Linked DNA regions of Oryctolagus cuniculus. The protein of the gene in region 2 interacts with the protein of the main gene of each other region in a biochemical or structural test. Links are inferred from orthologs where the notes say so. Each region holds a gene or a part of one and is shown on either strand. Other genes may lie near its edges.

What was found.
Region 1: the proteins of CFTR (region 2) and NHERF4 form a complex in vitro, tested with the Homo sapiens proteins (2 studies listed by BioGRID and IntAct, with this or other methods). The link is inferred for Oryctolagus cuniculus from reciprocal best matches to the Homo sapiens genes CFTR and NHERF4.

The regions. Positions count from the first base shown.
Region 1 is NC_091432.1:111,120,300-111,128,416, forward strand, and holds NHERF4 (Na(+)/H(+) exchange regulatory cofactor NHE-RF4), read right to left. Parts: upstream 5,249-8,117; 5' UTR 4,670-5,248; coding exon 4,654-4,669; intron 4,238-4,653; coding exon 4,216-4,237; intron 4,076-4,215; coding exon 4,002-4,075; intron 3,710-4,001; coding exon 3,498-3,709; intron 3,337-3,497; coding exon 3,147-3,336; intron 3,057-3,146; coding exon 2,920-3,056; intron 2,731-2,919; coding exon 2,526-2,730; intron 2,377-2,525; coding exon 2,180-2,376; intron 2,096-2,179; coding exon 1,868-2,095; intron 1,401-1,867; coding exon 1,200-1,400; intron 1,002-1,199; coding exon of another isoform or gene 969-1,001; exon of another isoform or gene 921-968; coding exon 735-920; 3' UTR 514-734; downstream 1-513. Other genes in the region: DRC12 (dynein regulatory complex protein 12), read left to right, coding at 87-215; NLRX1 (NLR family member X1), read right to left, coding at 5,944-6,265, 6,654-6,905, 8,006-8,092.
Region 2 is NC_091434.1:153,026,511-153,034,657, reverse strand, and holds the start of CFTR (cystic fibrosis transmembrane conductance regulator), read right to left. Parts: upstream 4,367-8,147; 5' UTR 4,357-4,366; coding exon 4,106-4,356; intron 3,807-4,105; exon of another isoform or gene 3,707-3,806; coding exon of another isoform or gene 3,654-3,706; intron 1-3,653. UniProt on the Homo sapiens protein: Epithelial ion channel that plays an important role in the regulation of epithelial ion and water transport and fluid homeostasis. Mediates the transport of chloride ions across the cell membrane.

The sequences.
Region 1 (8,117 bases), on a different chromosome or scaffold from region 2:
CCCTTAGACCAGGAAGAATGCTGGCAGGGAGAGCTCACAAGGCAGCCGCCCTCTCTTCCTGGGGACTGGGAGCTTGGTATCCGCAGGGCAGCCTGGACCGGCTCCTGGCCAAGCTGAGGGCCACCCAGCCCCAGTGGGACGAGGCCGCACTGCGACTCCACGCCAGACACAAGGAGCAGCTGCGCCAGCTTGGACTCAACCCCCTGGATCTTTGAAGCTGCCAGCCTCTGGGCTCTGGGACCCTCTGAGACCCCAGAAATAAAATATCCTGAAGGAGAACTCAGCTGAACCGTGGGCTGTGGCCTTTTGTCATAAAGGAGTGGCTTCCGTGGGGACACCTCTGTTCTGAGCATCCCGTCCCTTGATCCACAAGGCTGAGTGATGAGAGAGAAAACCGGCAAAGTCCCACCCCTTCTCCTACAGAAACTGGAGCCCAGCCCCCGAGCCTGGGACCTCCAGCTCCCTTTAAACCACTGCCCCATATCTCCACCAACAAAAACACAGGCAGTCCGATTTATGGGGAAAGGCCATTTAAATAACAGACACACAGCGTCCAGGGGCCAGCCCCCCCAGCCCGAAGGTGCCCACTCAGGGAGGGGGTTGCTGGGTCTCCCAATTCTTGGACCCAGAGAGTCCCAGAGTGGCACCTAGGTCAAGTCCCAGAGGGCTTCCAGCCCAGCCAGCCCCACAGCACCCCCTTCTCAGGCAGAACTTAGTCCTCGGGGTGCAGCCATCTACAGCCACCGAGGGACATCCCCCGGCACCTGAGGCCCCCGAGGCCTCTGCCCCAGCCCTTCTGCTGACAGCTGGGCCATGGCAAGGGAGGGGGCTCCCGGGCAGTGCTGCGGTGGGCGGTGTCCGAGTCCTCCAGCCCCAGCTTCCGGCTGAGTGACAGCATCCTTGCCACCACCTCGGGCTGGCTGTGAAGACACGAGAGGCCCTGGGAGATCTCGCCAAGCTGAGGCGCTCTACAGCACATCCGAGGGGAGAGCCCAGTCCTGCTCAGAGACAATGGCAGAAGGTTGTCCCTGGACCCTGAGTGTCCCTTCGCCCTGCCCCCACTGCCCCCGAATGTGCAGGAGTGGCATTGTTCCGTGGATTCTCTGCCCCCCGACCCCGTGACTTGAAGTCCCACCCTGCAGCCGTCCCACTCTGGCCTTCGCTGGCGCTCGCAGTCCCACCTGTCTCTTCTTGCTCACCTCTCCAGACCCGGGGGGAGTCCAGGCCTCCGAGCCCCACTGAGACCTGGCCGCCAGCTTCAGGCAGAGGGGTGGCTCCGCCTCCGCCAGCTGCTGAAGCCTTTGCGGGGTGCCATCTCCACCCACGGAGACCCCGTTCACCTCCAGAACCATGTCTCCCCTTTGCAGCCCTGCGCGGGCAGCGGAGCTTCCTGGAGTCACCTGACGGCACAGAACAAGGAAAGGCCATGGGGGAGTCTGCCGGGTGCCAGTGCTCTATGGCTCTAGGAGGGAGGGAGATGGGCACTGATCAGGAGGAAATGCTGGGAAGGGGGCTGTGCTATGCCGTCTACAGCAATGGCATCACACATGGGCACTGGTTTGAGTCCTGGTTGCTCCACTTCCAATTCAGCTCCCTGCTAATACACCTGGGAAAGCAGCGGAAGATGGCCCAAGTCCTTGGGGCCCTGCACCCATGTGAGAGACCTGGAAGAAGTTTCTGGCTCCTGGCTTCAGACTGACCCAGCCCTGGCCATTGTGGCCTTTGGAGAGTAAATCAGCAGGTGGAAGATTCTCTCTCTCTCTCTCTCTCTGCTTCTCCTTCTCTGTACCTCTGCCTTTCAGATAAATAAATAAATCTTTTTTAAAAAATGCTGCAAAGGACCCAAGCTCCAGGGGGCATCAGTCACCTGGGAGATAAAGAGAAAAGGCCCACTGGCCACAAAACTGAGTCGGAAGCCATAGCCACCGCCAGGCCCAGGGTACAGGAGGCACCGGCAGGAGCCAGGAGGGAGTGGAGGCTCGGCGGCATCTTCAAGGCACGCATCCTCGGACTCAACCAGAGCAGCCACGTGGGTGTCCTGGGTGGCGGTGATGGCCTCTGTGTGCTCCAAGAAGAGGAGTGGGGAGAGGCGCACCTGGAGGGCCAGAGCGAGCGCACCTGTGGCACCTGCGCCTCGCTCCTGGCTTCCCCCTCCCTAGCCCTGGCCCTCAGCACGCACCATTCTGAAGAAGCGGTCAGCCTCAGGGTCGACGACGACGAGAGAGACACAAGCGCCCTGTGCCCGGATCCTGGACACTGTCTCCTCGTGGCCCAGCCCCTCCACGCTCTCCCCAGCCACAGCCACCAGCCGGTCCCCAGCCTGCATCCCGGCCTTCTCGGCAGGCAGTCCTGGGTCCACCTCCCACAGGAACTGCCCTAGGGCAGAGACATCCTCACTGCTCCCCCCACTCACACTCAGTTCTACCCCAAGCCACCACAGGCATGCACACGGGGGGCGGGGAATACACACTTGTGGGGCCGCCCCAGGTTCACCTGCCCTCCCCACCCCCAGGACTTCCACTCACCAAGGCGACCATCAAGGCCCCTCTCCTCCCGGAGCAGGAACCCAAAGCCCTGAGGCCCTTTCTCCAGCTGCAGACATCGGGGCCTGGTGGGCAGTGCCCAGCCCTCTGCCAGGGGCGCAGCCAGGGGCATTCCCAGCTGGCGACACTGCTCCTCCACCTCTGGCCCTGCCACCAGCAGGGTCACTTGCTCTCCACTCTGCCAAAGCTGTAGGGACCCAGCAGGGCATCAGTATCTACTTCCTGGGTAGGGAGTGGAGAGGTGGGCACCTCCTCCCAGCATACCTCCCCAGGCACAAGGGAGAGGGAAGGATGGTGACCAGGTAGGAGGTCCCATCAGGGGATTCCATGCATGGGGGAGGAGTCTGCTTAAGGCAAGGGGCAGTGGCAGCCATACCTTCCTGCTGAGTTGGCTGTGAGTGAACTTCTCCACACTGATCCCGTCCACTTCCAGCAGCCGGGCCCCAGGGGGCACCCCTGCACGCTCAGCCGCTCCTCCAGCACACAGCACCAGCCAGAAAGGGCCCCGATGGCCTGGGACCAGAGCGGGAAAACTAGCAAGTTGCAGCCTGCCACCCCCACCTCCACCACAACCGCCCCGCCCAGCCCAGCCACTAAGCTCACCATGGGTGACACTGAAGCCAAAGCCACCCTCATCTTTCACTACGTGGCACAGCCGTGGCCGGACCTGGGGGCCCAGGGCAGGACAGAGGTGGGCGTCGTCCCCGTGCTGAGCTCGGGCCACATCATGCACGTGTCGCGCCACGACCGTCAGCAGCACCCGAGGGCCGCTGGCCCGGATGCAGCGCACCACCTAGTGGAGGGCATGGGAGGAAGTGTGGGCTGCCCCCGGGAACCTGGGTGTTCACCATGGGAACCAGCTCTCTAGAGGCCTCCACACAACCCCTCTGACCCTGATGCTCCTAAACCCCAGGCTGTGGCTGTGGGGCCCAGGAGGTGCCAGCCCAGCCTCACCTTTGCATAGTCTTCATGTTCCACGACGTCATTGTTCACCGCCAGAATCCGGTCCCCTTCCTGGAGACCCTGGCGCTGGGCAGAGCTGCCTGGGTCCACCCTGCACACCACATGCCCAGCCCTGCCCGCCTCCTGCTGCAGGTGGAAGCCAAAACTCCCGCCCTCCTCTCTGCTCAGCAGGCAGAAGCGAGGCCGTTCCAGGCTCCAGGGATCTGGAAGGGGAGGGAATGGGGGGGGGCAGGAGGAAAGGGGGAGAGGAGGAGGCGTGGCCCAAGTATAGGTGCACCGCGTGCCTGGCAGCCCCGCCTCCTGATGGGGCACGAGGTGGGCTCCCACCCGGTTAGGGGACGTGCAGGGGAAACCCTGGCCCACTCCGGCCTCCACCCAGTTACTGCCAACCACGGCTATCACCGTGACAGTGAGTGGTTACCAAGGAGATGAGAGGCTGTGAGGAGCTGTGATGGCTCCGGGAAAGGGGGGCGGTTGCCAGGGGGAGGGGATTACCAGAGGGGTCTCGGTCTTCAGCCAGGGAGAGGACAGGATTATCAATGCCCAGCTTTGGATTAAACTTAAACTTCCTGCAAGGAGGCAGGGGGAGGAGGTAGGAGGAGCTGGCGCTGCACGCAGGTTCCAGGCCGTACTCAGGTGCTAACGGCAACACAACAGCGTCCTGCCTTCGCTGCCTTCCCCACCTTGCCCCCGCCCTGGTAGCACTTACAGGGCTGCTGTGTCCTGAAGATCTGCGGGGCGAGGAAGTGGGTGAGGAGAGGCGTATTCCCACCCCACCCCCCAGACGTCCCTTCTGTGGTCAGGAACTGAAAGGAAGTAGGGGAAGCCCCAAACTCAGGACTCACCCCTCCATTTCAATACGGAAGGGTTTTCCTTCTCCCTGATGTCATACCCACAAGGGCATTGTGGCTCCGCCTCCCCACCCACCGCCCCCCCAAATCCTGGGAACATAAATCTGAGCATATCAGTACAGGGTGTGGGCCAGGAAGACAGCTGTGTCAGCGCCTTTCTTTTCTCCTAACTTCTCTTTGCCCCAGGGCTTCAAGTCCCAACATCAAGGGTGCCCGGGTCCCAAAACCTCAGCCTCCGTCTCTGCCCCCAGACTGCCCCCAAGTCCCCCTCCGGAGGATTCCTCACGGCCGCGTACCTGCAGCTGCCTTCATGGTTGGACCAGTCGCCCAGTGCTCAGAGCAGGGACAAGGTCCATTTCAACCAGCTGACCCTCCCACTCACCCCCTCCCAGGTCCCGCCTCCTTGAAGACGCTGCCTGGGAAGCAGTGGGGTAATGGTTAACGGGGAGGAAGAGTCTTATCCCCTGGGGAAGTGTGCGTGCCCTTCCTGCTGCTGTTTCTGGGCCCTAGCTGTCTTCGGAGCCCTGCAGCGGTCCGGGAGCCTCTCTGGGAAAGACAGGCAGGTTGCTGGTCACTGGCATTCAGCAGAGGGTAAGTATGAAAAGAGTGATGGGCCGGAGCCTGCAACACTGCCAACTCATGTGGATGGTGGTTCAAGTCCCGGCTGTTCCACTTCTGATCCAACTCCCTGCTAATGCACCTTGGAAAGCAGCAGAAGGTGGTCTAAGTACTTGGGCCTCTACACTCAAGCGGGAGACCCAGAAGAAGCTCCTGGCTTCAGCCTGGCCAGCCCTGGCTGTTGCGGTCATTTGGGATTGATCCACCAAATGGAACAGCTCTGTATTTCTCTGTCAGTAACTCTGCCTCTCAAAGAAGTAAATAATCTTAAAAAAAAAAAAAAAAAAAAAAAAAAGAAAAGAAAAAAAAGGCACAATAGTGTAGCCAATCCCGATCCTAATATCTTGTTCATGGGGCCCTCCAGTCCCCTCTGCCTCTGGTCCCAGTGCCCAGGAACCACTTGCAACACAAAGTAGCCCCAGTAGTTTAACCAGAATGACCCAGAACAGTGCCCTTTCTCAGAAGCCCCAGCCAAGGAAGAGAAGGCACGGGAAGTGGAAGACACACGGCTTTTTACTAGCAGCGAGCTGGCTACACCTGCCCTGGGCAACATCAGTACCATGAGGGCGGAGGGGGAGCACCAGTGTGTGAGCACCAACAGTGTCCACAGAGGGGCAAGAGGCAGGCCCAGGCCCTCCCAACACCCCGGGCATGGCCAATGTAAGAAGTATGGCCCAATCAGAGGCTCCCTGAGAGGAGGGAGAGAGACAAGCTTTGGTGGCAGTGCCACGGGGCAATCAAGCCACCCTAAAGGGAGAGGAGGCATGTGCAGCTCCAAGCCAAGCCATCAAGACTTGGGGGCACTGACTGGGCAGCTCCCAGGAGGGCAGCTGGCCTAGCTCTGCCCATTCCTTTGCCTCCAGCCTTGAAGGGCTCCTTCTAGAAGGGGTGGTCCAAGCCAGGAGGCCACAGAGGGAAGGGGTTCGGGGCCAGTGGTCACAAGCTGGGGTGCCTGCTGGCACTGGTGCTCAGCTTCCGGGGGCTCCCAGCTGCTCCACAAGGGCTCTGACCTCGCCCTGCACCCGCAGCAGCTGGGCCTTGCGCCAAGGATTGAGGGTGGCCCCGCGGCTGTCTTCTAGATCCCGCAGCAGCAGCTCGAGGTGGCGCCGGACCCGGGCCCGATCCCAGCTGTTGAGGTTCCGCTGGACTTCGCTGAGGATCACGGACCAGTACTCAGACACTGCCGTCCCCTCTGTCAGAGAAGCCACCACCCGGGCGCCGCCTCCAGCAGCAGCCCCCAGGTCCCGGAGGACCTGGCGGCCCTCGGAGCTCAGCTCATTGAAGTAGAGGCTAGCGGGAGAGAGAGGAGTGGGTGCTGTTCAGCGGGGCTCCGAGACGGAGGGCCTCAGGGCAATGGGCACCACAACCCCCATCCCGCCTGCGGAATGCAGCAGGCCATGGTGTGCAGTGAGCCAGACGGGTGGGTGCTCACCACCATGGGAGGCAGGGAATAGCGTGGGAATTCAGAGGGACCAGGGATGGGGAAACAGTAGCAGGGAATCAGGGCAGGGGCAGGACCAGTCCCAAAGCAGGTGGGTCGGCTAACAAGCGACAATCAGGAGCCGGAGGAGAGGACAGGCACCAGGCCCAGGGCCGCTCCCTGGACAGAAAAAGCCCAGTGGAGAAAGGGAAGGAGGATTCAGCATGTGGGGACGATGGGACCAGGGACAGGACTCACTGTAGCAGCTCCAGGGACGGGTGCTCCCGGGCAGCCTTGGCCAGGGCCAGGGCCGCGGTGTCGCCAGCGCCATTGTAGGCCACGTTCAGCTCCTGCAGCTGCTGGTTTCTATCCAGCTGGGCGGCCAGCAGCTCCAGGCCCTCATCTCCAAGGCCGGTGTGCAGCAGGGACAGGTGTGTCAGCGAAGTGTTTCCCGCCAGCCCCTCCATGAGCAGGGCGACACCTGCAGCTGTCAGCGGGTTGTTGGACAGCCTATGGCCACAAACAACCCAATGTTAGGAGGACCCGTGGCGGACGGCCTGGGTTGAGCACCAGGACTTGGCCGGAGGAGCCACGGCATGGGGCAGAGGAGCTGGGACATAGAAATGCAGGCCCAGGAGAAGGAGGTGGAGAGACAGGGGGTGCAGAGGAGGGAGAATGTGGAAGAAACTGACCACTCCCTTCCTCCTCTTCTTCCTCTCCCCTTCCTCATCATTACTATTTCCCTTCTGCTTTGTTTTTTTGTTTGTTTGTTTGTTTTTGTTGTTTTTTTAAAAAAGGCAGAGAGAGAGAGAGAGAGAGAGAGAGAGGTATCCTATCTGCTGATTCAGTCCCCAAATCCGCACAACAGTTAGGACTGAGTCAGGCCAAAGTAGGGAGCCAGAAACTCATTATCTGCTGCCTCCCAGGAGCCAGAGCCAGGAACAAAACCCACCCACTGGGTTGGGGCCAGTGCTGTGCCACAGTGGGTTAAAGCCCTGGCCTGCAGCACCATATGGGCACTGGTTCGAATCCCAGCTGCTCCACTTCTGATCCAGCTCCCTGCTAATGTTCCTGAGAAAGCAGCAGAAGATGGCCCAAGTGCTTGGGCTCCTTTGCCCCCTCCCCAGCCCCTGTCCTCTCTCCCTCCGGCTCCCCTTCCTTCTCTCCCTTCTTCCTTTCTCCCTCCTCATCTGCCTCCCCTTACTTCAACCAGAAACTGGAACCCAGGTGTTTGGGTTCCTAGGACATCAGCCAACACCTGGGGAGCATCTCCCGAGAGTCGGCATCTGGGTCAGCCGGGGGAAGCTACGGGGAAAATCCTGGGAGGGGGCAGTGGCCCTGTTACCAGGCAAGCGGCCTAGGTGGGACTCACCCTCTCCCCTGCCCGCCCGAGGCTGGCTTTAGCCATGTGAGAGACTTCTCAGCACCTGTTACTGGTGGCATCCCCTGCACTGCTGCTTATAACGGACTAGGAGTTGGCAGCAAGGCAGAGCTGAGTCCCAGCCCCTGTACGATACAGTGGGCCTGTGACAGGTGCATGGTGAGGCAGGGAGCTCACCCTTGTCCTTAGCTGGCCATCACGGTGGCCAAAGCCTCCCGCCGGCACTCACCGCAGCGTGCTGATTTGGCACTGTTCGTCCAGCAGCAGGTCTCGGAGGTCCCTGCAGGCGTCGGGGCCCAGGCTGTTGAGTTGCAGGCTGGAGTGGCAGGTGGCAGGGGGAG
Region 2 (8,147 bases):
TGCCTCTCAAAATAAATAAAAATAAAACAGGAGAAGATGCCTGGCCTAGCAGTTAAGACAATACCTGAGACACCCACATTCCATAACAAAGTCCCTGAGTTCAAGTCCTGGCTCTACTCCCAATTCCAGCTTCCTGTTAATGCACATCCTGGCAGGCAGCAAGTGATGGTTCAAGTAGTTGGGTCGCTGCTACCAGATTGGAGAGCTGGATTGAATTCCCAGCCTTGGCTGTTGCCAGCATTTAGGTAGTGAGCCAGTACATGAGAGATCTATGTCTGTTTCTTCTGTCTATCTCTCTCACCTACCCTCTCCCTCTCTCTCCCTCTGCGTGTGTGTGTATCTCTGCTTTTTAAATAAATAAATAAATTTTTAAAACATTAAAGCTATGGTAACATGAATGACATTTAAAAATAATACTAAAACTTTTAAAAATGACTATGACGAATTGAAATTATTATACATTTAACGAGAAGAAATTTATATAAAATTTTAAAGATAATTCCACATTAAGAGATCAAAAAATACTTTGTTCAAAGGCAAAACAATCAAGGGTATGGTTTTCATTGGTAGCTATTTTCAGTGTCCACATCTATTTTAATGTATAAATTCTAGAGTACTTGTTTAAAAGTCTCTCATTACTATGTTTAACAATTACAAAAGTGTCTTAAAGTGTCTTACTATTAACCTGAAACTTACAGTTCACAATCCTTGGCTGAATTTCCACCCTAGATGTTAAGATTTTTTCTCTGGTCTTACTTGAGACTTATCTGTAGAATTTTTGCGAGAGTCCGATACCCAGTCTTATAAGAGATCTATAGCATTTACACTTGGTTTCTGTGGGGTTATACATAGCTCCTCCAATATAGACCTTAACTTTTGGTATCTTAACTTTTGGATACTATGACCAAAACCAAGTTATATCACCTGATACATAGTTTCATACACAAGCCAACTAGACAGAGAGGGAAATTCAGGGTATGAGAGAATAGAGAACAAATCAAATCACTACTTTAAAAATCATAACAAAATGGAAACTGGAAAAATTTGTTCCAAATCAAAAAAGCATAATCTTTACTGATAAACATTTGTAAATCAAACCAACTGGTATACAAATCATAAATTCTATGCAAATATCACATCTAGTTTAAAACCAGCTTCATATTTTGTAAAGATTTTTCTTAAAAACTACAACTTAATGTACTTATTTTCTACCATATTCATAAACTGAATTTTTTGTGGTAACATTATATTGTTATTTTATGTATATGTGTGCGTGCATATATATATATACATATATTTGCATTATGATAGTTCAGATGTCTTCCAAATTTTGTACTTGATTTAAAATTCATGTAAAATTAAGAAAGTACTTTGGATTTTTCCTCAAACATTTGATTTCCAATGATATAACCTAAACAATTAAAGAGCTATTTAATATATTCCATAACCCTGACCATAATTGTTTTACTCTTTTATGACTCTGAAACAGAAGGGATCATATTCAGAACATTAAATTCCAGTACATTTAACAACATATTATATAAGGATAAAACTTTTTTATTGCATGCTTAGTGAGACCATGTTAGATGAAATTTTCCCAAATTCTCATACAGGCTGATTCATTGTGTATGCAGACTTATACTGCAGAATTATACTCAGCAAAGAGGAACTGCACTCCTTATATAAACAAGACACATGGTACTGTAAAGAATGTTCAAATGTAGTAATTTATAATGATAACAGCAGCTAACACTTACTGGGCTAACATAAACATGCATTTTCTCAATCACAGAACCCTTGGGTCATAAGTCCTATCAATCTCTAAGTTTGAATGGTCAAGTCACATGAACACAGAGATGTGACAGGATTTGCCTCAAGTCACACAGCTACTAAGCAGTAGATCTGGGATTTGAATCCAAAAGATCTGAATCCAAAGTCTGCTGCTCCTCACCAGTGAGCGGCACTGCCTGACCCATTGCAGAGAGTGAGGTTTTTGCCCTTTAGCAGTAGAGTCCTGAAGAAAGTTCATAATCACTAGTTCTGGGTGATTGTCAGTTCCTCTAATAGTAGGAACTTAATTTTTAAAAACACACCTATTCTTAGAGCAACTTATTATAAAATAGTTTGGAGAAAAGAAATGAGTATGCTCGCAACAAATTTCATAGCCATTATAATACATTTTCTTTCCAAATCAACCTGACAGCTTTTTTAAAACTATACTAAAGTTTGCCAATCTATAAAAATTGAAAAGTTTGATGAACAATTGAAAAGATGAACAATATGCTATTTAAAGTCTCTTAGTCCTTAGAATTAACCATGGGATATTCATTCTGAAAACTGCATTTTTAGACTGACTGGCAATTGGGTTCCTCAAAGTGCTGTGGATAAAAAGTCTCCAATTATTGCCAATTAGCAATGTGATTTTAGAAGTAATAGGAAACAGATAAACAGGCCAATTTTACAAAGTAATAAAAGGTGCTGTAAACATCAATAAGAAAGGCAGTTCCAAAGAGTAAAGTCCTTCTGCCCCATCCACAAGGAGGAGATCTCCTTCAGGGGCCAATGGCCTCTCCTTTGCACCTGGGTTTCAGGTTTGCAGCACGTGTAGAGAATCAGAGCTCAGAGGACTGTGAATCACTTTCTCATACACACATTTATGGGCATATTTGTAGCAGAGTTGACTTTTCCAATACTTTAGCATGCTGATTCACTGGAGAATTATGAGCCTGGCAGCATCCTGGGAGAGAGCTGCCCCTATTGGTTCACTCACACAGGTATAGCAACAGGAACAAAGTAGATGCGGTACCTAAAGAACACTTGAAACACGAAACGCTACATCTAATTACACTTCACCTAAGACTCTGAATTTAAACTCTATTTTTAAAAATCTCATTAGAAGGAGTTTGCAAGCTTTTCTAGCTGTTCATTTGCAAAAAAGGATAGGAGCACAATCTCTTCCATGTCAGTTGGTTATAACTTCAGCATCTATTCCCCGGGTTTCACACTTTGCAAAATTCTGATGTTCTTAAATTAATAATAGGTACTATTAGCATTTTGAATATACCTATTTCAATGGATTTGATTTCCTTCATAACAGGAAGAACAATGGAATTCTGCAAAGGCTTGTTAGACTTACTTGGGATTCTAACAACGAAAACTTTGTTTAATCACATAATTTCCAACCCCAGCCCCCATTTTTTAATTCAGTCAACAAATGTTTTCTGAGCACCTACTACATGCAGGAGTGACACGTGGTATGAGTGCCAAGAAAACAAGTTTCTATTAAACATGTATGGGGGAAACGGCGGCGCAAACAAGAATCCTTTATGAATAGCTTTGTCACCGATAAGTTTCTTGGAGAAATCGAAGAAAACAGTTTCACAGTAGCCCACTTGGGTCTAAGAGTCTGCCTTTCCGTTGCAAGCAGACTTGGCTCTACCCCAACAATGGGCTTCAGTTTATTCTTCCATCTCTTCTTAACGCTTTCCATCTTATTGCTCCAAATCCACGTTTTCTTTCAAAACCATGACAGCGCATCTCTTAAGAACCGAGAACAAAAACACTAGTCCTCTCTCCCCGAACCCTGCCCATATCCTCTCCCTCCTCTTTCGTAGGCACGTGTGCTTGCGCAGCTCAGCTGAACACCCTCTCACCTGAAAAAAAGTTTGGAGAGGACGCCGGCCTTCTCCAGAGGCGACTTCTGCATGGTCTCTCGGAGCGCCGGGCTGCCTGCCGGGGCAGGCTGGGCTCGCGCTCCTACTGCCGGACGCCCTGCTCCTCTCCGCGCCCGCCGCTCACCCCTTTTTCTCTGACCTGCCGTGATGTCATTTGCCGCCAACTCCCCCCACCCACCCCCATGGCACACACCTCCCCTTTCCTGCTGCTCCTTCCCCCGCCCCCGCTGCCCAGGTTAAAAGCCCGGCGCTGCCTGGCCGGCCCCACATTCGCTCCAGCCGCCTTCTCCGCCCCGGCGCGCCCCGGCCGCTCCCCGGCCGCTCCTTCCTTCTCGCCTCCTTCCCGCCTGCGCCGCCCCACGCCTCCCTCGCCCGCCGCGGACTCCCGGCCTCCTCCCTCGCGCGCGCTCCGTGCAGCTCCGCGTCCCTACCGTCCAGCCGCAGCCCAGCCCGCGCGGCCGCTCTGCAGGTGCGGGCGGCGACGCCTGAAGACAGAGCCACCAGCGGGAGCAGGAGCGGCAGCACCGCGGCGAGACTCCTGGACCTTCCTCCTCACCAGGTCCCTCCGGCCCCGGGACCTGCCGCCGCCAGCTTCCCTGTGCCATCCTCCTCCTCCTCCTCTTTCTCTTCTTCCTCTTTCCCCGGATCCTAGCCGGGTTCGTGTAAGGTTTGCAAGGTGCATTTTGAAAAGGGAAATACCTCTCTCCAGCATCAAAATGCAGCCTTGGAGAGCCGGCAGGTCCTGCGTTTGTGCCTGGTGGGTTCGCCCTCGCGCCTCCTTCGCGGGGCTGGGGAAGAACCCAGCGTTGTTAGTTTCAGGCTTAGGTGCGCTCCAACTGCGGCTAAGACACCTTTGGAGACGCACTTGGGGGGACGAAAATGTCAACATCTTGCAAAGAGGTAAGAGCAGCTAGTGCCTTGCCCGTCGCCGCCGGAGAGTTGTTAGTTGTCTTTACGAAGTTTTTACTAGTCTAGCTTGCGTTTCTAAGGAGGCTTTTGTGTGCCTAAGCGACAGTGACGACTGGACAGTATGTAAACTCACCCGCCCTCCTATGGATTTCCTGGTCTCGTTCAGCAAAACGTCTTGACTACTGCGCCGGAAGGAATCCAGGCAGCCTTTGAAGCGAAGGTGGCGCATTAACTTTGATCTGACTGAATCTGAGGGCACCTACCCTTTCCTAAGCGTGGGCGCCTTCCTTCCCAGGTTTGGGTGCCTGTCGTGTGGATTTTAAAGAGCCAAGCCTTTAATTTCTGAACTCTATTGTCAAAAAAAAAAAAAAAAAGTGCTAGCATAATGATAGAAAGGAACATACATTTCAATTCATGAATGTGTTCCGCAGGTTTTGATCACTTTCCTTTGCATTTTAATGTCATCTTTTTTCCCTTCTATCTTAAAGTGGGTTTTAAGAAACATTCACATTTTATTGCACTGAATTTTAATAGTAGAGAATAGAAGAGCAAAGAGATGGAACAAAATGATGACAGGATGAATCGGGAAAGAATTTCAGCATTTCTAATTCATGACCCTTGCTTCATAGACTGTGCTGGTGTTTTCCTCTCTCCAGTATCACAAAACTTGAGGCTCTGTTTTCCCTATTGACTTTTCTCAGGAGTGTGAGTGAACTTACTTCATCCACTTCACCATCCTAAGTCTGTTTTCTCCCTACTAGCATGACCCATCAAATGTAAGACACAAATGTTGAAAACAATTGGCAATTATTTCCTTGTTGTTATCAATGAGCAATGACAATGAAGGGATGAAGAATCCACTTCAAGATTACAGAAGCTGACCAATGAGTATGGCTCAAGGAGACCCCAAATACTTTTCAACCAATCTCCCTCCTCTGGAAAGAATAAATAAAATAGTCACCTGAGTTCTTACTATTTGCTGCACATCATTTCATGCAAACCTCACGCTCACCATGTGAGTAAGTGTTGTTATCCTCAATCTTCAACTAGGAAACAGACTAGAGGAGTTAAATAAATGCCACTAATGATAAAGCCAAGATCAAACTCAGGTCTATTTCCAATCTCTCCTTTCAGCATATAGTATTGCCCCTAGTCAAATCACCCATGTAATTTTGTTTACATTTTGCCAGCCACCAAACCCAGTCTTTCTCCTTACACTGGTTTTGTGAAATCAAAACTTTAAAACCTGTTTAACAATGAGACATAAAAGCAGAAATCTATAAATCAAGCAGCTACCAGAATTACATATTTTAATAAATAACACTGAACTACAATATTCTGTCATAAGTGTGTACACACACATGTATAGGAAGACCATAGATCGTTACCATAAAAGCAACACAAATTTATTTTGGCAGAAGTCAGTCTTCACTGTCATTCAGAACTTTCACATTGCCAGCAGACATGTCCAAATGAACTTACCCAGGATTTCAGTATTTGCATCTAGATAGGTGCTTAATACAGGAATACGAACTCATGCACTAAAGAAGTGTTTAAATACGGCTGAAGGTCATGACTGAAATCCAACACATGGCTTTGAGATGTCCAGTTAGGAAAGAGGTCAGTGGTCTGCGATAAGTGTTGAAGTGGACAGTAAGAAACAGTAAGATTTCTCTCTCTAAGCTACTCTACACCAACCCATATTATGTTGTAACAATGTTATAATACCCATAGCTTATACCTATTGGGCGCCATATTGCCAGGCATGATGATAAATGCACCCATGGTTGACCTTTTCTAATCCTTTTAACACCACTGTAGTACAGGTAATTTTTCAATATCCATGTATTACATGAGAAGAACATGAGATACAAAAGCAATTTTCCCAAGCAAGTTTCATAATTAATAATAACAGAAGAGGCTGGAATTTGAACCTAAATAGTATCTTATCTAAACCCAAACTTAATGACTACACATATTTCCCCTATAGAATTTCCTACTAAGTAGGACTGACCTTAAACACAAGAAATTGGGTGACTATTTGTGTGGCATCATTTTAAAGGAACATTAAAAAGATCTAGGCAATGGAAGAGGAGATGATGAGAAAAGGAAGCCAAAATTTATTTAGTCACTACTCTACCTTCAGCAAGGTGCTTCCCACAAAGCATCCCAGTATACGAAAGATCATGAGATAATCTTGTAGTCTTACTTTACTCATCCTGTCACACAGTGTCCGAAGTTTTACCATTAGAGATCGTGAGATGAACCTGCACTATAATTTATCCATCATGTCAGCTTCATTTGCTTATGTTCCTTGGATTCTGTCCTGAGTAGGGTTTAATAGTGATAGATGAGTAGAAATCATGTGTGCACTAAAAACTGGCAAAATAAAGAGAGGAAAGAACACGTCACCTCCCTAGTAAACCAAAGCTCATTACAAGACAGAAGGCAAGACATTGGCTTCACGCTCATAGGCTGATTGTGTTTGTCAGTTTCTCTAAGCTAGGAGGATAGGAGTGGCCACAGCTCTGCCACAGTGTGCCAGTGATGTACTAGTATGCAAACACAGGTTACAGTCTTACAACGTGTTTCAGGACCACAAGGAGGTGTCCTGGTACATGTTGATTATTATTGATTATTGTTGACTTTTACTGTTTGCAACAGGACATTTGGTCTGGCAAATCTGTTTATAAACACACAGGCATATAAACCTCTATTTATATACATATAGACAACTCTTCTTCCCCACAACCTCTTTGGAGACAGGAATTGTGTCTTCTGTTTTCCTTCTGACATTCCTTACTTAGTAATAAAACAATCCAGCGACCATTTTCTCTTGGGGTTACTGACCTAATTGTTGAAATATCATCTTAAAGAAGAAATCAGAAGATATCCAGCGGATGAATGGTTAATATTCTTCTTTCAGCAAGCAAGAGCTTGATGCTGAGGCAGATACAGAATAAAGAGGTACCTCTGCCCTACAAAGCTCAAAACCTACTTGTGGTCATCAAAGTTCACAGAAGATGGTAGCAGACATAGGGGAAACAGCCTGGGCTTAAAGGCAATAATGACATAGGTTTGCAGTCCTGACACCATCTCTTACTTAGCTGAGTGATCCTATTTAAATTATTTAGCTTTTTTTGTCTCCTTTTTCTTTTCAGGAAAATGAGGGTTTTTTTTAAAAGGATTTATTTTATTCATTTGAAAGGCAGAGTGGAGAGAGAGGGTGGGGGAGGGAGAGAGAGAGAGAGAGAGAGAGAGATCTTCCATCTGCCGCTGATTCACACCTCAAATGGCCCAAATGGCTGGGGCTAGGTCAGATTGAAGCCAGGATCCAGGAACTCCTTCAGGTCTCTCACGTGGGTGGCAGGGCCCAAGCAGGTGAGCCATCGTCTGCTGCTTTCACAGGCATATTATCAAGGAGCTGGGTCAGAAGCAGAGCAGCTGAGATTCAAACTGATGTGGGTAATGAATATATCATTTTTTTAAAATCCAGGTTCCTGTGTCCCACAGAGATAGAAATATTAAGCCAAGACTGGAATCTTTTGCAAATAAGAACAGAGT